Linked DNA regions of Stegostoma tigrinum. The protein of the gene in region 1 purifies or fractionates together with the protein of each later gene. This does not show direct contact. Links are inferred from orthologs where the notes say so. Each region holds a gene or a part of one and is shown on either strand. Other genes may lie near its edges. The genes, in order: nedd1, tubgcp6 and tubgcp3.

Evidence for each region.
Region 2: the proteins of nedd1 (region 1) and tubgcp6 purify together in Homo sapiens (affinity purification with mass spectrometry; 3 studies listed by BioGRID and IntAct, with this or other methods). This does not show direct contact. The link is inferred for Stegostoma tigrinum from reciprocal best matches to the Homo sapiens genes NEDD1 and TUBGCP6.
Region 3: the proteins of nedd1 (region 1) and tubgcp3 purify together in Homo sapiens (affinity purification with mass spectrometry; 3 studies listed by BioGRID and IntAct, with this or other methods). This does not show direct contact. The link is inferred for Stegostoma tigrinum from reciprocal best matches to the Homo sapiens genes NEDD1 and TUBGCP3.

Annotation. Positions count from the first base shown.
Region 1 is NC_081378.1:52,287,794-52,295,388, forward strand, and holds the start of nedd1 (protein NEDD1), read left to right. Parts: upstream 1-4,525; 5' UTR 4,526-4,670; coding exon 4,671-4,741; intron 4,742-4,770; exon of another isoform or gene 4,771-6,288; intron 6,289-6,593; coding exon 6,594-6,736; intron 6,737-7,595. UniProt on the Homo sapiens protein: Required for mitosis progression. Promotes the nucleation of microtubules from the spindle.
Region 2 is NC_081378.1:27,678,636-27,686,622, reverse strand, and holds the start of tubgcp6 (gamma-tubulin complex component 6), read right to left. Parts: upstream 3,033-7,987; 5' UTR 2,606-3,032; intron 1-2,605. Other genes in the region: polyamine deacetylase HDAC10, read left to right, coding at 6,588-6,652. UniProt on the Homo sapiens protein: Component of the gamma-tubulin ring complex (gTuRC) which mediates microtubule nucleation.
Region 3 is NC_081359.1:13,324,944-13,331,873, forward strand, and holds the start of tubgcp3 (gamma-tubulin complex component 3), read left to right. Parts: upstream 1-3,857; 5' UTR 3,858-4,058; coding exon 4,059-4,134; intron 4,135-6,930. UniProt on the Homo sapiens protein: Component of the gamma-tubulin ring complex (gTuRC) which mediates microtubule nucleation.

The DNA.
Region 1 (7,595 bases):
TTACAATTGATGAGAAGTGCAGGATAAACTGTTGGCACTTTAAGTTGATAAAGTACCAGGATAAGAAACATCCAAGGATATTGAAGGAAATTAAGATGGAATTAAAGTGCCAAGCATGTTTCAATTTTTCCTGGATTTGGGGATGGTCCATGTCCCAAACAGGTTGTAAAAAACCGCCCAGCAATTACAGATGAGTCTGTTGAACAGTGTGGTGGGAAAAATCTAGAAAAGAAAAAAAATCAAATTTTTCCATCACATGGAAAACATGGGTTGATTCAGAAGAGTTTGCACGCAGTTTTTAAGGGAAAATTCTGTCTATATTGCTGGTGTTTTTTGAAGAGGTAACAGAAAGGGTTGACACATGACTGTTGATGAGGTATACAGGGACTTTCAGAAGGTGTTTGATACAATGCCATACAACAGATTTGTAAGCTCAGTTATAGGTTATGGATTAAACAGTAGAGTAGCAACATGGATATAAAATTAGCATAGTCCATGGATATTTTTCGGGCTGGTGGAAGGCTTGTAATGGAATTTTCCAGGAGTTGGTATTGGGACACTTGCTTTTCCTAACATATATTATTGATCTGCACTTTGGTGTGAAGCAAGCAATTTCAAAATTTGCAGATGACGCCAAACGTGCAAGAATTGTAAACTGTCAGATGGACAGTGTGGAACTCCAAAAGAACATTGACAAGTTTGTAAAGTACTGTGGGCTAATAAATGATAGATGAAGTTCAACACAGGGAAGTGTGAAATGAGAACTTCGGTACACGGACATTACATTATAAAATAAAGGATAGTATTCTAAAGGACGTGCAGGAGCAGAGAAACCTGGGTGAATATGTACATAAGCCATTAAAGGCAGTAGGACAGGTAAAGAGAGCTGTTAATAAAGGATACAGTATTCTAGTTTTCATTAAAAAATACAGGCATAGGATACAGGCCAGGGAGATTATGATGAACTGAGATAATGGGAACTGCAGATGCTGGAGATTCCAAGATAATAAAATGTGAGGCTGGATGAACACAGCAGGCCAAGCAGCATCTCAGGAGCACAAAAGCTGACGTTTCGGGCCTAGACCCTTCATTATGATGAACTGTTTAGATATAAGACACTGTTAGACCTTAGCTGAAATATTGTGTACAGCTGTGGGCATTAAATTATAGGAAGAATGAGAATGCATTTAAGAGAGCACAGAGGACGTTTATGAGAAGGTTTCAGGGATATGGCTTCAGGTCTGAGGAAAAATTGGAGAAGTTGTGTCTATTTCCTTTGGCAATGAGAAGGCTAAGAGGAAATTTGATAGGTCTGGACAGAGTAAATAGCAAGAAACTGTTCCCATTTGGATTGAGAGCCAGTATATGGATTGAGAACCAGAGGTTTTAAAGTGTTTTACAAAAGAAACAAATGTGAAGTCAGAAAAAGCTTCTTCTCACCATGACTGATTAGGGTCCAAAATGCATGGCCTAAGATATGTTGGATGCTGGTTCAATTGAGGTATTCAACAGGGTATTAGATGATTATTTAAAGAGATACAATGTGCGTTGTTACGGGGGAAAAAACAGGGTATTGGCACTAAGATAAAATGCTCAGTGAGTCAATGCAGACATGATAGGTCAAATAGCCTCCTTCAACACCGTAACAATTTTGAGATTCTGTGAGGAATAGATGCCAGCTAAGGGAAAGTGTACAATATGCTAACTGTGAAGAGTGAACACAAAAGTACATACCTGTGTGACAACAGAGTGATGGAACACGAGGGTAATCAATACACCGATGACTAACAGTAGCCAAGGGAAACACCCATAGTTCCAGAAGTTTACAAGATCTGGTCAAATTGCCAAAATGATAAATGGACTCTTTGAAATCTGCATTTGTAAATTTTATGATCCCTATCTCTATATAACTAATCTTGTGATTACCCAACGTTTATGAATTTCAAATTGCAGCACTTGAGCTACCTTGGGAAAAACTATTATCTTTTAGATGATGTGTGAGTGATAATGGAAACTGCAGATGCTGGAGAATCCAAGATAACAAAGTGTGAAGCTGGATGAACACAGCAGGCCAAGCAGCATCCCAGGAGCACAAAAGCTGATGTTTCGGGCCTAGACCCTTCATCAGAGATGCTCTCTGATGAAGGGTCTAGGCCCAAAACGTCAGCTTTTGTGCTCCTGAAATGCTACTTGGCCTGCTGTGTTCATCCAGCTTCACACTTTGTTATCTTTTAGATGATGTTCCTTTAAGAGCTAAATATGTAAATGAGTCAAGTTACCAGATGGTTTCAGAGGCTCACAGCATTGCTCAACTCTTAACACAAGCTATGTCTAAAGAATATTCTCTACTGAATTTATTAGTTCAGCTGTCAATAACACCACCAGAGATCTCTATGTAAACAATCCCCATATCTCATTTGCACTACATTTAGATAGCACAAAATATTCTTCCATTAAGTCTGCTTTCTCTCCAGGCATGCTGCCAAACCTGCTGAGTTTCTCCAATTTTTTTTGTTTTGGTTTTTCAGCTTCTGCAGTTCTTTCCCTTATTATTACATCCTTTTGCGCTCTAGAGGTTAATACATGGAACAGCCAATGTAAGCTTTTATTGAGGTTAAAAGGCTACAAGAGCACATCCCAGCAATGACCATCAAGGACTGGCTACACCTCACAGTATCGCAGAATTGTGGTAGTGCTGAAGGAGGCGATTCAGCTCATCGCACTTGCATCAGTTCCACTACGGAGTGCCAATTTCTGCCTTTCCCCACTTTGCTAGAAAATGTAAAAAAAATCTCTGGACACTTCTTGTCCACAATACCTGTGATGTGCTTTTTGGTGCTGTAAGCTTTCAGAGAACCTAGGTACACTGTAATTGCTAAGTCCATCTATTATCTGGGTTATCAGCATCTGAAATATTACTGGGGTATTAATAAAGTTAGAGGATACAAGAGTTGTATGATATGGGCTTTCATGTGATGAGCCAGAGATTTCTCTCACTCTGGAGGTCATGCAAAATTCCCAGTACCTTCTTTTTATAAAAGAAGGTTTGCTGGGTAGGCAATTGATCTCACCCTGTCTATACAATCCACAACACAAGAATTGGGAAAGAGTCTGCTATGTTCACTGCAGTTCCTTCCCAGTCACAAATATGGGCTGTGTTGATTTGTTGTGCTTTGGGGCCTGTGCATTAGCTGACCTCCAGCTGCATGAGCCGGTTATGAAATAGTACAAAAACAAAGTTGCTGGAAAAGCTCAGCAGGTCTGGGAGCATCTGTGGAGGAGAAAACTGAGTTAACAGTTCGGGTCCGGTGACACTTCCTCTGTTTTTGTTCCTGATTTACAGCATCTGCAGTTCTTTTGGTTTTTATGTAGTAGCACGCTAAGGTGTGCACTAAGCCTGTGTGGCTGGGCAGTCAGTATGAACAGGTATGCACTGAGTATGAGATAGGAAGAACTGCAGATGCTGGAGACAGAGATAACAGTGTGCGCGTACTGGGCATATAATGGTGTGCACAATACTTAACAGGATTGCACTGGGTATTTACAGGAATGTACTGGGCATGTACTGGTGTGAAGTGGGTATTTACAGGAATGTATTGGGCATGCACTGGGTATTTACAGGAATGCAATGGGCATGCACTGGTGTGTAGTGGGCATTTACAAGAATGTACTGGGCATGTACTGGGTATTTACAGGAATGTACTGGGCATGCACTGGTGTGCAGTGGGCATTTACAGGAATGTACTAGGTATGTACCGGATATTTACAGGAATGCAATGGGCATGTACTGGTGTGTAGTGGGCATTTACAGGACTGCACAGTATTTATGAGCGGCGAAGATCATGAGACAGCGACAAGATGATAATTGGTAACAGACTGCCGGAGAAATTTAGCAGATCTATGAAGACAGAAATGGAGTTAACGTACCGACCTGCGACCTTCCTTCAAAATAGAAGAAGAATGATAAACAGTCTTTAAGGAGCTGAATCGAGAAACATGCACCTGACAGACACTCACCAGCTCGCGACCTCTGGCGCGTCACTAACCAACAGCAAGCGGCGCGCGGCTCCAACTGCTGCCCCTAGGGAAGGGAGGGGCGGAGCCAGCAGAGCTGCGCGCGCACCACGGGAGGATTGCTGTTGGCGCCAAGGCGAGGCTGGAGTCAGGCCTGTCCTGAGCGGTCAGTGAGTGAGGGACCGACCTCGGGTCGGTGATCGGTCAGTGAGGGAGGGAATGAGTGACCGACCTTAGGTTGGTGAGCGGTGAGTTAGTCAGAGAGTGAGTGACCGACCAATCCACCCACCCACCTCCGGCCCGGTGAGCGGTCAGTGAGTGAATGACCCCGACCAAGTGAGAGGTCGCTGAGGAAGTGATCTTGGAAGGAATCGCTAGAGGCCCAGGTCCCCAGCAGAAGCCTCGAAGTGTCAGTCTTGAGCCCATGCCGCTGCTGCTCTAGGCCCCCTGGCCTCCCTCAGATCCCCGGGGGAGCTTCAAGTAAGAGCGGCCTGCCTCACTGAAACTAGCTCGCATCCACCGCCATTCCCACTACCGGTGATCAAGTTCCATCTTCACTTCTAACTTATCAATGTAGAAAAAATTCTGCACCGCCTTGGGAGATTTCGAAGCATTGCAGAGAATGAGTCACTTTCTAGAGCGTAGTCACTGTTGTGATGTTGGAAAGGGGACTGCCAGATTGCGCACAGCGACCTTTCTCAAACAGCAAAGTGATTATCTATGTAATGTAGGTTGTCTTAAATATTGACAGATAACTCAGTTGCTCCTCTTGAAAATGGTGCCATCAGATCTTTTAGAACTACCTGAGCAGGTAGTTCTACCATTAAGTCTCTTTTTAATGTCTTATCTGAATGAAGGCCCTTCAGATAGTGCAACACTGCTTCAAGTACTGGAATGTCAGCTTGTATTTTTGTGCTAATACCTGGAATTGGACTCTGATTCAGAAATGAGTGTTACCAAATGACTCGCAGCTGATGTAAACAATATGACTTTTTTTGTTTTTGTGATTTTGATTGAAGGAATATTTATTAGCGAGCATTTTGAGGAGAATGTAGCTGCTTTGAATTTGGTTGTGTGTTATTTGACTTGTCAGAGAGACAGCCTGTACTTAATGTTCACTAGTTCAATTGGCTGGTTTCTGCTGTAGAGTATTGCCAGCATGTGTGGTTCAATTCCTGCACCAGCTGAACTCTATGAAGGGCTCAATCTTGACCTCACTGCTGTCCAGTGGTGTGGTGAGAGCAGCCATGTGATCCTCTGGGACTATGGAGTCTTAAATTTTACTTAATGTTTTATTGTTAACGTAGCACCATTGAGAGTGCAGCACTCCCATTTGGATTATCAACCAAGATTACAGGCTCACATCTCTGAAATGGAATTTAAATCCCTGTGATTTCTGACTCAAGCAAACACACCTTAGTGGGCTACAATTACAATGTCCACCTCTAATCACAAAACATTGTTAATGCAACAGTTGGGGATCAGTACAGCTGTTTTTGAAACCTGATGAAAATTTGACAAACTTAAATATAGTCAAGACAAAATACGAAATCAATTTAAGTTATAAAACATGAACAAATGCTACTTTATCTACCTATCACACTGACCACTCACCTTTCACTCTACACCCTGCCCACACCTAACTGCTAGCCTAACTCCTCATTCTTCAGTTTTAAAAGCCAGTTATATTGAACTAAAAATGCTAACTCTGTTTCTGTCTGCACAGGCACTGTCAGACCTGCTGAGTTTCTTGAGCACTTTGTGTTTTAAATTAAACACCCTTTATTTTTAGTGCATGTGCACGAAAACTGATGCGTCAAAATTGGCGTTCTCTCTCTTTTAATCTCACCCCAAAGATAGAAATTTATAAAGGTAAATACAAGCAGATTAATTTCAAGGGCATTTACCTCTGTTTGTGGGTTGTGGGTTCAAGTCCTAGTGGACATTTTCCAGACTGTAATCTTTTAATGTACTATCCAGTGGAGTGCTGTAACAGCTGTCTTTTAGATGAGATGTTAAAACAAGCCACTGCCTGTCAACTTAAGATAGATATAAAGGAATGATGGCACAACTTTGAGGAGCAAGAGAGTTCTTTACTGCCTGCTGGCCAGTATTGCAAAAACAGATTTTTCTGGTCATTATCTCACTTTTTTGTGGGAGTTTGCTGTGCACAAATTGGTTTCAATGTTTTGACATTCAAACCTAAATTTAATGACAATTCATAAGTGCTTAAGTGGCTGTGAAGCACTTTGGGACTCCGTAAGATTGTGAAAGGTACAGCATAAATGTAGACCTTTCTGCTTCTTTTGATACTTTTTATTCGCGTGAAAATCTTTTCTAAATTATCTCACTGGGAAAATATTTCTATAAAATTTCCATTATTCACACTATAAATGCACAATAATTTTACAGTGGAAATAAACCTCAGTAATAAATATTTTTCTTAAATTCTTTTTTAAAAAGTCTTCCTTTCATCTCTAATTAGCATTCAAATCCAATACCTATTCAATGTTTGAGAAACTACAGTATATTTTGGTAGCTACCCTATTTCATATGTATCTCATGTTTATATATTGCAGATATACCATGCAGGATAGCATCAAATTAGCCTCATGTGGGGATGACATTAAAATCTGGGATTCGCTTTCAATGACAGTGGTGGAACAGTTTAACCCTCACAAGAAGCCCTGTGAAGTAACTTCCGTTTGCTGGACTGTTGATAATATCCTTTGGAGTTTACTGCTGTCAGTAACTATTCCATTTATGTAATTGTTTGCTATTAGACAGGCCTATGGGAATGAGGATAACTGGCTTGCATTCTAGTTTGATGGGTTCTGAGATAATTGGGATCTGGGAGGTTGAGAGGTGAGCTTCTAAAGACTTATAAAATCATGAGGGGAAGAAATACGGTGAATAGCAAGGTGCACCAGGGAGCGGGAGTCCAAAACTAGGGTGCATGTTTTTAAGGTGAGAGGAGGATGGAGCGTTAGTCCGTGGAATGAACTGCCACAGGAAGTAGTGAATGCAGGTACAGCCTCAACATTTAAAAAAACATTTGGATAAATTCATGATTAGGAAAGATTAGGAGGGGTATGGGCTATACCCCAGCCAAATGTCACTGGCTTGGTTTGGAAACATGAGATAACAAGTTGTAGAGCTGGATGAATACAGCAGGCCGAGCAGGAACACTGACGTTTCAGGCCTAGACCCTTCTTCAGAAATGGGGTGGGGAAGAGGGTTCTGAAATAAACAGGGAGAGAGGAGGACGTGGATAGAAGATGGATAGAGGACAAGATAGGTGGAGAGGAAACAGACAGGTCAAAGAGGCGGGGATGGAGCCAGTAGAAGGAGTCATTGGAAGGATGGTTAGGCTCGCGGTTGAAGAAGTAAGCGCGGAGGTGGTGGAAAAACTGCTGGATGTCCAAATGTGACTGGTATCAGTTGTGCTTCAGGACATGGTCGAGCAGTTTCAAGGACGAAGAGATTATGAGGGCGTTGCAGTGGGAGAGAGATCCACTGAGGTTTTTCCATAGGGAGGAGGGCAACTTCTATAGGCTAGGCATCCACTTGTTTCAGAGATA
Region 2 (7,987 bases), about 25 Mb from region 1:
TTCTCCTTAATTTTTTTTTCACAAATTGGATTCCCTTGGACAAAGTGATAGGCAGCTATACCCAGAAAAGTAAATGCCCTGGTAGCAACAAAAAAATTAGAGTTAGAGTCATAGGGGAGGTGAACATGTAGATTTTATTTTTCATTCCAAATCAAGATTTAGACAGGTTACGTAAATTATGTACATCAATTTCCTAATGACAAAAAGAACATTCAGTATTACCTCAATTACAATCACAATTTTAGAAGTATTTCATTTTCAGGTTTACCATTCTGAAGTGCAAAATATACAGCCAACACAAATGAGAAGCGGAAACTTTGAAAATGAAGAAAACAGGTGCAGGGGTAACAAGGTGTAGAGCTGGATGAACTCAGCAGGCCAAACAGCATCTTAGGAGCAGAAAAGGTCATGATCTCAGATTCTCCAACATCTGCAGTTCCTATTTCTGTAAAACAGGAGCAGGAGCAAGTCATTCAGCAACCCCCCAACCATTCAATATGATCACATCTGATCACCAACTCCATACGGTGCTCCCCCTTTCCCCTTAAACACTTTGATCCCTTTAGCGAAATCAACACCTTCTTGGAAACTTTCAATGCTTTGGCCTCAACCACTTTCTGAAAGAGAGGATTCTACATGCTCACCACTCTCTGGGCCAAAAAATTTCTAATCTCAGTCCTAAATGGCCTACCCATATCATTAGACCGTGAGAGATAAGGGGAACTGCAGATGCTGGAGAATTCAAGATAATAAAGTGTGAAGCTGGATGAACACAGAAGGCCAAGCAGCATCTCAGGAGCACAAAAGCTGACGTTTCAGGCCGAGACCCTTCATCAGAGAGGGGGATGGGGTGAGTGTTCTGGAATAAATAGGGAGAGAGAGGGAGGCAGACCGAAGATGGAGAGAAAAGAAGATAGGTGGAGAGGAGAGTATAGGTGGGGAAGCAGGGAGGGGATAGGTCAGTCCAGGGAAGACAGACAGGTCAAGGAGGTGGGATGAGGTTAGTAGGTAGGAAATGGAGGTGCGGCTTGAGGTGGGAGGAAGGGATGGGTGAGAGGAAAAAACAGGTTAGGGAGGCAGAGACAGGCTGGGCTGGTTTTGGGATGCAATGGGGGGAGGGGATGAGCTGGGCTGGTTGCGTGATGCAGTGGGGGGAGGGGACGAACCTCCCTCACCCCCATCCCAGGCCCCAAGATGACTTTCCACATTAAGCAGAGGTTCACCTGCACATCTGCCAATGTGGTATACTGTATCCATTGTACCCGGTGTGGCTTCCTCTAAATTGGGGAAACCAAGCGGAGGCTTGGGGGACCGCTTTGCAGAACATCTCCGCTCGGTTCGCAATAAACAACTGCATCTCCCAGTCGCAAACCATTTTAATTCCCCCTCCCATTCTATAGATGACATGTCCGTCATAGGCCTCCTGCAGTGCCACAATGATGCCACCCGAAGGTTGCAGGAACAGCAACTCATATTTTGCTTGGGAACCCTGCAGCCCAATGGTATCAATGTGGGCTTCACCAGCTTCAAAATCTCCCCTTACCCCACCGCATCCCAAAACCAGCCCAGCCTGCCTCTGCCTCCCTAACCTGTTCTTCCTCTCACCCATCCCTTCCTACCATCTCAAGCCGCACCTCCATTTCCTACCTACTAACCTCATCCCACCTCCTTGACTTCTCCGTCTTCCCTGGACTGACCTATCCCCTCCCTACCTCCTCACCTATACTCTCCTCTCCACCTATCTTCTTTTCTCTCCATCTTCGGTCCGCCTCCCCCCTCTCCCTATTTATTCCAGAACTCTCACCCCATCCCCCTCTCTGATGAAGGGTCTCGGCCTGAAATGTCAGCTTTTGAGCTCCTGATGCTGCTTGGCCTTCTGTGTTCATCCAGCTTCACACTTTATTATCATTAGACTGTGATTCTTGATTCTGAACTTCCCAATCATTTGGAACATCCTTCATGCATTTATTCTGTTTAGTCCCACTAGAGTTTTATAGGTTCCAACGTGATCCCTGCTCATTCTCCTAAACTCCAGTACATATAGTCCTAGCCGAACACGTCGCTCTTCATACATCGGTCCCGCAGTCCAGGGCTCAGCCTAGTAAATTGAAACAAAGAACTTCAGACCGATCTCTGAAGCAAAAATAGAAATTGCTCGCAAAACTCAGCAGGTCTGGTAGCATCTTTTCTGAAAAAGAGGCACCAAACCCAGAACAATAACTCTCTTTCTTCAGACGGATACAATCAGTGAGGTAAACCTGTTGTGTTGCAGTCCCTCCGTTGATTGAACATCCTTCCTCTGATCAGGAGAGCAAAACTGCACACGTTTCCACACTGATGAAGGGTCTAGGCCCGAAACGTCAGCTTTTGTGCTCCTGAGATGCTGCTTGGCCTGCTGTGTTCATCCAGCCTCACATTTTATTACCACGTTTCCACACTGTCGGGGATTCTGTCATCTTTGATTACCCCACCAATTGGCTGTGCAATTGTGAAAAGCTGGGGCGAAATTATTACGGTTTGCAGCCCCTTACCTCCCAATTAGGGGGATGTATTACACATTGACAAGACGCCGACATCCTGTCGTAGACATAATGGTCATATATACCTCTGCGCGGTATCCGTGAAGGGCACATTACGGGAGGAAGGCTAGACGCAGCATCACTCCATCCACGAAGAAGCAGTTGGTTCTGATGAAAGATTCACCGGGCTCGAAACGTTAACTCTGCTTTCTCCCCCAAGGTGTTGCCAGACCTGCTGCGTTCCTGCAGCAACTCGCGTTATAACCACTGAGGCTTTAGCCAACGGGAGGATCCAGCACAGGAAGAGGCCAGAGCAGAGAACGCTGGAACCGTTCAGCAGGCAGCCCTCTCCGTGTGGAGAGTAACGGGAGTTTTCAATATCAGCTCAGAGACAGGCCCCTCACGTCTAACCGGAGAGCTGTGCTATACTACGCTACGAAAACTCCATTCCAGGAGCATTGTACCAACCAGCCGCCGCTCTCCAACCGTCAAACAGCAGCTGTTCCCCGCCACCGTGTCTCCGCCTCCTTCACCCCATCAACCAGTCGAATAACTCAACCCTCGGCGCGCTGTGTTACTATTGGACGGTCGGTTAAGACTCCTCCTTCCACTGGTTGCATCTGCTGCCAATCAGATATCATTTCCGCTGGAGTCGCGGGTGTTGACCTCCGGAAGTGCTGATCTCTGAGAAGTTGCGTTGCGGGTTTGTATCATCGTCTTTGTCCGGCTCGCGTGCCTTACGTTTGGAGAGTAGCAACTGCTAATGCAACATGTGCGATGGAGCAGTGTTGTATTTCTCTGAAATGTTTTGCACTGTACTCGTGAGGACTTTTACTTTTGAAGTACACTTTTAGAGAAGGGGTAAATAGATCTGAGACAGTAAGGGTGGGAATTCATCCGAGGGGAAAGTCGTATCAGACTCGAAATGTACACCGTGTTCCCTTCTGCGCATATGTCAGCCGTGATGTAAAGGTGCTGGTGTTGGACTAGGGTGTACAAAGTCAGACGTCGCAAGCTTTCAAAGCGCTGCTCCTTCGTTTTCACCTGAAGAAGGAGCCGCACTCCAAAACCTTATGACTTCAGATAAACCTGTTGGACCATAACCTAGTATTGTGGGACTTCTGACTTTGTCGACAAATTTCTTCAGCACTTTGTTTTACTTTCAGATTGCCAGCATCTGGAGTATTTTGCTTTTATTTTAGTAGAATCTTCGGCCTTTTCTTTTGCCTTATCCAAGTTTCACTATACCAGAATTAGGTTTTATTGTCATGTATATTCAAGTACAAATGTATAGAAAAAGTGTACGATGTTACCACACAATGCCATCTTAGGTACAAAGTACCTAGTTCCAAAGTTTAAATATTAACATAGGTTAGCTACAAAATAGACAAAGTTCTACATTTCAGTTTTTCATAGTATAAACATGGAAAATAAAGAAAAATTCTGTGGTAAACATTTTAGTCCTCTATAACCTGCATTTATTCCACACTGGGGGCTTTCCACACGTGTGTCATACTCTCATTTATGCTAGGCTGCCATCGGTGACAGTTTGACCTGGCTAGGCCCCTGACTGCCAGCTGCCCTGTTCCAAGCCCTCAGTCCGATCGCTGTCCTATTCCTGTCGATTGTCCTTCTCTGCCCTGGTCTGATGATCTTCCCGATCTGGGCCCTCAGCTGCTGCAATACTGTTACCACTGGTCTCTCTGTAAGTTCTAGCTTTTTAAGAAGAGCAACTGCACTGTCATTTTATATATCTGTTGGGGACTTTTATGATGTTTTTTAAAAAGTGTGATTTCTGTACAATTGTGCCGATTTCAGGATCACTTGCTTCTTTCTTGGATCACAGAAACTGCAGCTCAGGGGAAATACACAAAAACTGTATACATACATGGGTGCAGGAAATGCAGTTGAAGGCATTTTCAATCACTAAAGGGGGAAAGTTACAATCCTTGAAACAGGAGGACATCGGGTTCTTCCTGGACACCTCTGTCTCCGTCACTGGTAACTGCTTCAAAACTGACATGCCCCCCTGACTTCCACAGCTATCTTGACTACACCTCCTTTCACCCACCTTCCAGCAAGCATGTCATCCCCTACTCCCAACTCCTCTGCCTCTGCCACATCTGCTCCCAAGATGGGGCGATCCACTCCTGCACATCCCAGATGCCCTTCTATTTCAAGGATTGTAACTTGTCCCCTCTGGCGATCAAAAATGCCCTCAACCGCATCTCTTGTGTTTCCTGCGCCTCTGCCCTCACATCTCTTCCCCCCCCCCATGCCCCCCCCAGCAAAAGTAAAGACAGAATCCCCCTTGTCCTCACATATCGCCTCACTAACCTCCGCATCCAAAGTATCATTCTCTACCACTTTTGCCACCCACAATCAAAGAGATATTTCCCTCCTCACCCCATCTGCCTTTCGTAGGGTTAGTAGTCGTGAGAGTAGTCCATCTCACCCCGGCACCCTTCCCTGCAACTGCAAGAAGGGCTACATCTGCCCCTATGTCATCTTCCTTCTCCCCCACCATCACTTCCATGCAAGGCACAAAACAAACCTTGCACATTAGACAGGGGTTCATCTCCACATCCATCTCTACTGCAGCCACTGCTCCTGATGTGGCCTCCTGTACATCGCTGACACCAAGTGGAGACTCTGAGACTATTTTGTAGAGTTTCTGTGCTCTGTATGTGACAAATGACAACACCTTCTGGTTATGAACCATTTTAGCTTCCCCCCTCCTACTCCCTGGGTTATATGTCCATCCTGGGACTCCTCCAGTGTCACTGACTCCACCGCAAACTGGAGGAACAGCATCTCATATTCAGCTTGGGGAGCCTACATTCTGATGGCCTGAACTTGGATTTCACTAGTTTTAAAACCTCCCCACCCTCAGCCTCATCCTATGTCCAAGCCTCCCTCTCATCCCTCGCCTCCTTGACCTGACGCAACCTGTCCATCTTCTCTCCCACCTATCCACCCCACCACTCCCTACCTACAAACACCATCGCCATCCCACCTACCTTCCCCAGACCCACCCCTCCTCTATTTATTTCTGAGCTCCCTTCACCCTCCCCATTTCTGCAGAAGGGTCCCAACCCGAAATGTCAACCTTCCAGCTCCTCTGATGTTGCCTGGCCTGCTGTGTTCCTCCAGCTCCACACTGTTATCTTTGATTAAGAATAAGCGTGTTTCATTAACGCATCCAATGGAGAGATTGAGCACACCCGACTCTCAAAATTGGTGAGAAGTTTACTGGAATATGTCCTGCAAGGAGATTTAGGTTTGGAAGAAATTAGTTCACAGCTTTTTGCACGTAGTTGTCTGGGAGGTGGTGTTCAATAAAAAGTTCCGAGTAACGGTACAGTGTTTAGCACATGTGAGGTATTTTGTTTGAGATTTAGCCAAAGAAATTAAGAATCCGAGTGACAAGAAAAGGTCAGTTAACAATTAAAACGAAATGGGGTGCAAAACATGACATTTCACGGATCTTCCACATCTCATTCCTAAACTGCTTTTGCTTGAGACAGGCAGAAGGTGAGTTTGAAAAAATGTATCTTCAAATTTAATTGAAACGTCAAATCTTCGACCCTTATAAATTTACATTTGCCTCTATCTAACACACACAATCCTCTAAGGATATGATAGTTTAGATGTGGGCAGGTTGTTTCCTCTTGTGGGGACCCTACGGTCACAGTTTGTAATCTCTGAATAAGCGATTGCATATTCAAAATGAAGATGAGGAGGAATTTCTTCTGGGAGTTGTGAATTTGTGGCATTCTTTACTGCCGCAGAGTGTATTCAAGGTTGCATGTTGAGTATTGAGGATATTCAAGAATGAGAGATTTTCTTTTGATTAGCAAGGGAATGGACGTCATGGGGAAAAGCCAAGAAAGCTGATTGATGATTATCAGATCTGACGTGATTCCATTGAATGGTAGAGCAGACTTGATGGGCTGAATAGCCTACTTTTGCTTCCACATCTTCTGATCTTCTGCTCTTAAAATATATTTTAATGTTAAAATTGTCACTCAATCCAAAATAAATCAATGTATTTTTATTTCTTCAGTCATGGCATTGAGAACAGGGTTGATCTACAATGAACAGATGAAGAACTACAGCCTGCTGTGGGATTTGTAAGTGCTGTAATATGTTGTTTTATGTTTCTAAAGCAGTTAATACTCTTGCTTTAAATTGAAATTTTTAGGGAGCACTTTAAACAGGTAAATGTTTAAACATAATCAATTCTTGATTTGACATGAAGCAAATTTAAATTTAAGCAGTTCAGTGCACCATTCTCCCCTAAGGTCTTTCCAGTGTGATACAGTTGAATGGGACCGTGCTTGACTCCTGGTTTTAATTTTGTCTACTTAATGCAAATCACTTTCAAAGCATGACAGTTGGTGTTCTCACTGGAATAACAATCCAGTGATACCTGTCAATGATCTCGAGGCACTGGTTCAAATCCCACTTTGGCAGTGGGCAGAATTTAACTGTAACTAATAAAACATGCTGGAATTAAAAGCCTCTTTGCATAATCGTAGTGTTGTAAAAACCCAGTTTGGTTCACTCATATCCTTTAGGGAAGGGCATCCTTGCCCAATTTCATGTACAAGTAACTCCAAATCCACAGTAATGTGTTTGACACTTAACTGCTCTCTGAAATAGCCTTGCAAGCCAATTGGTTCAAGGATAATTAGGATTGGGAAGCAATTGCCGATCTTCCCAGTGATGCACAAGTACCATCATCCCACTCATGTCATTACCTTTGATATTCTTTGAGAATTTGTCTTTAATCCCTCTGTTTCTCATCTACATTCTGCTCCATGACAATATGACCTGAAAGCCCAGCACATAATCTGCCAGTTGGCTGTTCCTTACCACCTCCTATCATGATTTTTCCACTGTTGTTAAATTATCAGACTGTTTATCTAACATCTGGAACTAGATAACTAAATATTGGGAAAACTGAAGTAATTGTGCATAGCCTACTAAATTGAGGTATTTTAGCGAGGATAAGTATTATGTACCTGAAACCCAGCAAGTCTGAATTTCTTTCTACCTCACTGTTTAAATACTTGGGTGTCAAACAAGTTCTGAAAAGATTTACCTTGATGTTGCTGGGACTGGAGGGTTTGCATTATCAGGAGAGGCTGGATAGGTTGGGACTTTTTTCACTCAAGTGTGGGAGGTTGAGGGGTGATCTTATAGAGGTTTATAATATCAGGAGGGGCATAGTTAGGGTGAATGGCAAAAGTCTTTTTTCCCCTAGGGTGGGACAGCTCAAAACTGGGGACATATTTTTAAGGTGAGAGTAGAAAGATTTAAAAGGGACCTGAAGGGCGACTTCTCCCCCTACACACACACAGGTTGCTTCATATGTGGAATAAACTGCCAGAGGAAGTGGTAGATGCAGGTACGGTTACACCATTTAAAAGATATTTTGACAGGTACATGAACAGGAAGGGGTT
Region 3 (6,930 bases), on another chromosome or scaffold:
CCATTATCTCCCCAGCAACAAGGAAATTGCCTGCAAGGGATGGTTATCAGCTGTTAAATATCAATATTTGAGCATGGAAGTCCCAATTGCTGCCATACCTCTACTACCATCTCCTCTGATGGAAAGATGATATATCCCACAGGGTGTGCAGTATGAAACAAGAACAAAGCAGATTCAGGTGTTCACCAAATGAACAGGTACTTCACTTCCTGGCGAATACTTTGCTGATATTTTCAAAATCACACAAGAACTAGAGGGCATAGGTTTAAGGTGAGAGGATAAAGATTTATAACTGACCTGAGAGGTAACTATTTTTTAAACACACAGGGTAATGCGTGTACAGAACGGCTGCCAGATGAAATTGCGTACAATTGCAACATTTAACAGACATCCAGACAAGTATGTAAATAGGAAGGATTTAGAGGGATATGGACCAACTGCTGGCAAACAAAACTAAGTTAGATTGGGATGCCTGGTTGACACAGACAAGTTGGTCTAATTCTGTGCTGTATGACTCCTTCTTCAAGATCTCCTTCACCACAATGTTACAAAAACCTCTTTTTAAACGTCTCTATAAGCCATAAATGTGACCATTTTGAATAGAAGGTTATAGGCCCGAAATGTCAGCTTTCCTGCTCCTCTGATGTGCCTTGGCCTGCTGTGTTCATCCAGCTCTACACCTTCTCAGATTCTGCAGCATCTGCAGTTCCTACTATGTCTTGAATATTATTCTGCCCAGGACCATGTCTTAAAACCCTGACTTTTGAGTCTCTATGAACTTTAAGAATCAGCTGGTTCAAGAATCTGTTGTGCATATCCTAACAGCAACAGGAGCTGTTCATTTAACAACACTACGTCACATGGGCTAAACTGGTTTTCAGTCTGGCAATTTGTTGGTTTTAAAATTCTTATCAGTGTTTTTGAATCCCTCACATCCCCTCACCCCAATAACTTCTTCAAGCCTTAGAATCAATCTGCAACCTCTAATTCTCAAATTCGGGTCTCTCATGTATTTGTTCTTTCATTTACTCTACCATTGGCATTGAAACCTTCAACATGCCTAGGCCCTCAGCTCTAGAACCTCCTCTCGAAACCTCTTCATCCCTTTCTCCTCCTACCTCCCTGACAAGCCTTTTATTATTTGCCCCCATACATCTTTACATGGATCGGTATCAAATATTGACAGATAATCCTTCACAAAGCATCTTCAGACTGTTTCATATGTTAAAGACATAGTACAAAGCAATGTTACTTTTGTTCTTGCTTAGATTTGTCTGGATGCTTAAATGTTCACTGAAGCTTTTTGAAATTTTATGGGTTAGGGAGGAAGATGGTCCTGAATAGATCTTTTGTCCATGTCTTATGTTTCTGGGACTGAGCCCTGGAAAATTTGGGATCACAAGCTTATTTTGATGCTGTCACAGTCAGTCTCCAGTGTTGTGGCTGCCTAGATGCTAGAAAGCAAAACAGAACACCAACTAACACTTCATCATACTGGCTTCTGGAGTGAAGTCTAATTTTTATTGATTTTCTTTGGTGCAACAGATTTAATAAATATAATCAACAGATAATTCAGCTGATTGTATATCTAAAATTGCAGAGAGAGATGTTATCTAATGATAACCAGCAACCTCAATTTTCAAAATATGTTAAATATGGTGAAGGATTATAGGAAAATCAGGATTAAATCTAATATTCAGTAAATTAAAATTGAAAAACAACTTTTGCAATTCTTAAATACAGTGTATTTAATCAATGAAACACTAATATGTTAAATTGACAACACAATCCTACATATTTTCACTGTTTAAAAAAAGCACTGGATCGTGACACATGTCTCCAAAACACAGTCCCCAAGAAAGTTTTTGAAAAGTGAATCTCTGATCTTCCCTTGGCTTTCAATCAGTAAACTTCTATAATGAAAGTCTTTCTGTAAAAGTGTCACATGAATAACCTTTATGTCCATGGGGAAGCTTGAGATGAGACAATGAGGCACCAAGACACTTACATTACAATAAATGTAACAATGCCTAAAAGTATTTTGAAACCAAATCAGAGGTAAGTCATTTTCCTTGGATTTGTTTCAGATTTTAAAATGACAAAGATTAAGGGCACTTAATCAGAGAGGAAGAGAATAACAAAATTAACAGCAATTACATCAGTACGTACTGGAAGTTGAGCAGGCAGTGAATCTCAGAAGTCAAATGAATTGTGACCAATTAATTTATTAATAGTTAATGTGAAAGAGAGAAAAGGTTGCCGTACAACTATTGGTTTGTGGTTCATTCATGCCCTTTACAGAAGGAATTCTATTGTACTGACCAGGGCTGGCTGACCTAGATGTCCAGCTGTGACCTCTTAAGACTAAATTTCTACTCAAGTCTGAAGTAAGAGTGCTTCACACTGGACATAACAGCTTTTCAGAGGTGTTGGCAGGAGGGGCTAATTTAGTTTGAGATTACGTTCATCAGGTTGGACCAAAGGGCCTGTTTCTGTGCTGTATGACTTTGAGTTGTTAAACTGAACACGCATTTGTCTTCTAAGGGTTACGTAAAAGATTTCATTGCACTATTTTTAAGATGAGCATTTATTGTCAGAGATGACAAGGTGTAGAGCTGGATGAACACAGCTGGCCAAGCAGCATCAGAGGAGCAGGAAAGTTGACGACACCAATGCTGCCTGGCCTGCTGCGCCTCTGCAGCTCCATACTGTGTCAAGTCTGACTCCAGCATCTGCAGTTCTTGCTACCTCTGATAAGGTTCGCTTTCCCTCCCTTATAAATGTGACTCCAAACCCACGGCAATGTTACTGACACAGAGCTATCACTTGAAATGACCCATTGTTACCATCAGGGATGAGCAATAAATGGCAGGCTCATCAACCAACACGGATAAACTTAAAACAACACCTGCATCAAAATACAAGGAAACAGTGTGCAGGATGTTTAAATCGCAGCAAGAAAACCTCACAACGAATTTTCAAAGTGTGAGGCACAGGACGATGGCTGCGGGAAGATTAACAAAAGCCAGCTCCACCCTCAGCAGGCCGCCAGTAACCATGGAAACGGCATCTTCCCCTCACAGCCTTGCCTTCACCGAGAGGCTCTTCCTCGTGCCAGCTGTTACCTATTTCACCCCGCCCACTCCACGACACTGCCCTATAACCCGCCATATCATTGCACGGCCTACTTCACGAGCAACCCAGTCATCGCCAGGTTCCGAAGGATAGCCCCGCCCCCCTATTAACGACCCGCCACCCGTCCGCAGGCTCTGTCCCTTTTTACCTCACCTCTCTCCGACTGCCCCGCCCACATCTTAATACCTCACCGCTGTCCGACTGCGCCGTCCATACTGGCCCCGCCCACTCCATGCTCCGCGCCCGTCATCATTGGACCCACCTTCTTCCCCACACTTCCGCATCCCAGATAACAAGATGTAGAGCGGGATGAACACCGCAGGCCAAGCAGCATCATAGGAGCAGGAAGGCTGACATTTCGGGCCGTGACCCTTAATCAGAGGGTCTAGGCCCGAAACGTCAGCTTTTGTGCTTTTAAGATGCTGCTTGGCCTGCGGTGTTCATTCAGCTCCACACTTTGTTATCTCGGATTCTCCGGCATCTGCAGTTCCTATTATCTACGATACTACTTCCACCTCCCACTCCGTCCCCGCCCCTGCACAGGACCCCACCCATCCATTGTTACTTGTCTCCGCCCACTCGCCGCTAACCCTATCCTGACCACGCTCCCATCACATAGCCCCGCCCACGCAACGTTCTGGCCAGCCGCTGCACCCTCCTGACTCCACCTACTCGGCGCCGTGCTTGCGTCTGGTCCTCAGACCCCGCCCATCTCCTCGCAGCGGATTGTACCCCCTGACCAGGAAGTGGATGTTTGTAGTTCCGTTGCAATGCCGCGGGCTCTTAAAAAAATGGCGCCCTTGGCGCCGGGTCGGAGCTAAGACGGAACCGGGATTGAACCTGGGCGAACTGTGGAAAAGCCGAGGCAACGGCTCCGACCCGGGAACTGGGTCTCCTAGAACAGGACAGTGGGAGGCCCGGCGATGGCGACTGTGGATCACAAGTCCCCGAATCTACTGTTGCAAAGCCTGTGCTGCCGGATCCTGGGCCGCAATGAGGGTGAGTAGGGCCGGGGGCTGGAGGTTGTGAAGCCGGAGACTTGCTGGTCTGGCCTGGCATGGCCTGGCGACAGTGAGGTAGGGATGTGTCGACAGCGAATCAGCCCTGGTGAGAATGAAAAACAAGCCCAGGTGGAGTGAGGGAATGATGTACGGACGTGCAGGGGAGGCGTTAGATGGGTTATGTTTGCAGGTGGAATTGAGCGGCTCGAATGGTGGCTTGTTTTCTTGAGGGGCTAAGCGTACAGCAACGTCAAGGATGTTGGAGAGGGACAAGATTAGAAGGTTTTTCTCACGTTGGCGGCAATGAAATTGAGAGGAGTAAAATTCGAGTCCTCCAATCGGAAATCCAGCTGAGTAGAGATTGGGTTGCTCACGATTATAATAGTGCCAGACAATATAGGGATAGTGAGAGTCCTGTAGTATCACCGGGGATAGGAGGAGTAATTAAATTGAGGAGATGGTATCAGAAGAAAGAGTTCAGGTTTTTGGAATCTAAACAGAATCTGGGTAAATCGAATGTAGCTGGAGAAAAGGCAAAGTTAACATTCAGTTGTAAGACAAGAAAGTTGTTTGGTGTATCAGAACAATACTGGTCTTCATTGAGTAATCCAATCAATTCTGTTCCCTTTTTCTGTCCCTGTAGCTTTGCTGGTTTACTTTTCTTTATTGCCATCCTTATTCCTTGTGAAATTACTAGTTATCTCCACTTCTATGACCCTCATACACAGTGGGATCCAGATTATGAGCATTCAGTATGCAAAGATATTTTTCCTAAGACTTTTTGTTTATCATTCATTCATATTACTCTTCCAGTTTTATCTGGTTAGATTCTCCTCATCTCATTGAAATTAGTTGCCCTCCAATTTGGAAACTTCATTTTAGATTATTGCTTTCTGTTGTCCATTACTACTTAATCTATAATTAATATCATGTTCCCTATAAGTTATATGAACTCATTCCCTGGCACCAGAAATTTCACTTTGAGTTGCAGTGAACATACAAATTCGGACATTTTGGTTAAGCAAGCATGTTCCACCATCAGTAACACCATGGCTGTTCCGCCTGGCCTCAGCACCACCTTTCTGTCTCATCCCTAAACCTGTTGATTTCCTTTTCAGTCAAGAATCTGTCTAACTCAGCCTTAAAAATATTTAGTGATTGTGCTTCCCCTTTTTGGGGAAGAGAAATCTGGGGACTAAGCTTCTTTTAAGAGATTCTTCTATTCTGCGTCATAATTGAGAGAATCCTCATTTTTAACCTGTGCCTGCTGGCTCCAATCTCTCCTACAAGTGGAACTATCCTTCCTGCATCCACCCTGTTAATTTCCGTCGATACTAAATGTTTCATTAAGATCAACTCTCATTCTTCTGTACCCCAACGGATATAGGGCTGACATGTCGAACCTTTGCTCAGAGGATAATGTTTTATCCCAAGAATTGATCAAGTTAACTTTGCACTGTTTTAATCCAGTTACATTCTTTCATAAGCATGACCAAACTGTTTGCACTTTTCCACTTGTGGTGTCACAAACAGACTGTATAACTAGAAAATTTGGAATATGTGAGAAAGCTAGATAGAAATGTAAGAACAAACATTGGGTTTCTATAGATATTTAGAAAGGAAAAATGGTAAAAGAAAATTGTTGGCACTAAGGAAGTCAGTTTAGGGAATTACTTATCAAAAATAAGGAAATGACAGATTACTTAAGCAGGTAATGTTGCAGTACTTTTCACAAGTGGGTACGAATAACATGTCAGAAATGTGTGTATATCAAAAATGGAAAACAGAAGGGACCTTTGGAAAGTTATATCAAGTGTGTTGTACTGAGTAAATTGTTGGATCTGCAGACTATCCAATTCCTAGGTACTGTGAACCTTATCCTAGGGACGTACAGGAAATAGCTAGCAAGGTAATTAACATGCTATTTTGTTTTTCCAAAATTCTCTCGACTTGAAGTTTCATTTGATTAGAAAATAGCAAGTGGAGCTTCTTTATTCAAAGTTGACAACAGAAAGCAGGAAAGTGCATGCCATTTAGCTTAACGTATGTCAAAAAGAGGATGCTGGAAGCTATTAATGAATATGTTAGTGTGGCTGTTTGAAAAATTTAAGATAATCGGAATGTGTCAACAAGGCTTTGTCCAAGGGAAATCATTTTTAAACAATTTGTTGTAACTGTTTGTGGAGGTTAACATGCTGTGGAGAAAACAGATCTAGCGGATGTGTTGCAGTTGGTTTTCCAAATAGCATTTGTAAGGTGCTGTGTCAAATGTTTTTGCAGAAAATATAATATCACAGTGTGGGGAAAGGAATGCATTGGCATACATAAGAGCTTGGCTGGCTAACAGGCGACAATAAGCATATATGTGTCACTTTCAGGTTTGCAAGATGCAACAAGTAGTGTACCAGAAACAAGTTGTGATCTCAACCTTTTACAATTTGTGTCAGTTATTTTGAAGGAAAGGATGAAAGATATGGTTGCTAAATTTGCTAATGACACTGTAGTAGTTAGCAAAGTAAATTATGAAGTAGACAGAGGACATAACTTAAACAAGTGGACAAAGGTCTGACAAATAGAGTTTTAAGTGGGAAAAGTGAAATTATCCATTTTGGGAGCAAAAGTTGGGGAAAAAGGGCAGATTATAGAGATTATGAAGGATTGCAGAGTTCTTGTTATGCAGAGATATCTGGGTGTGCTAATGCATGAAATGCAAAAGGTTACTATGCATAACAGCAAGTAATAAGGGAAGCTGATGCAATGTAATAATTTATTACAAGGGGAAATGAATACCAAT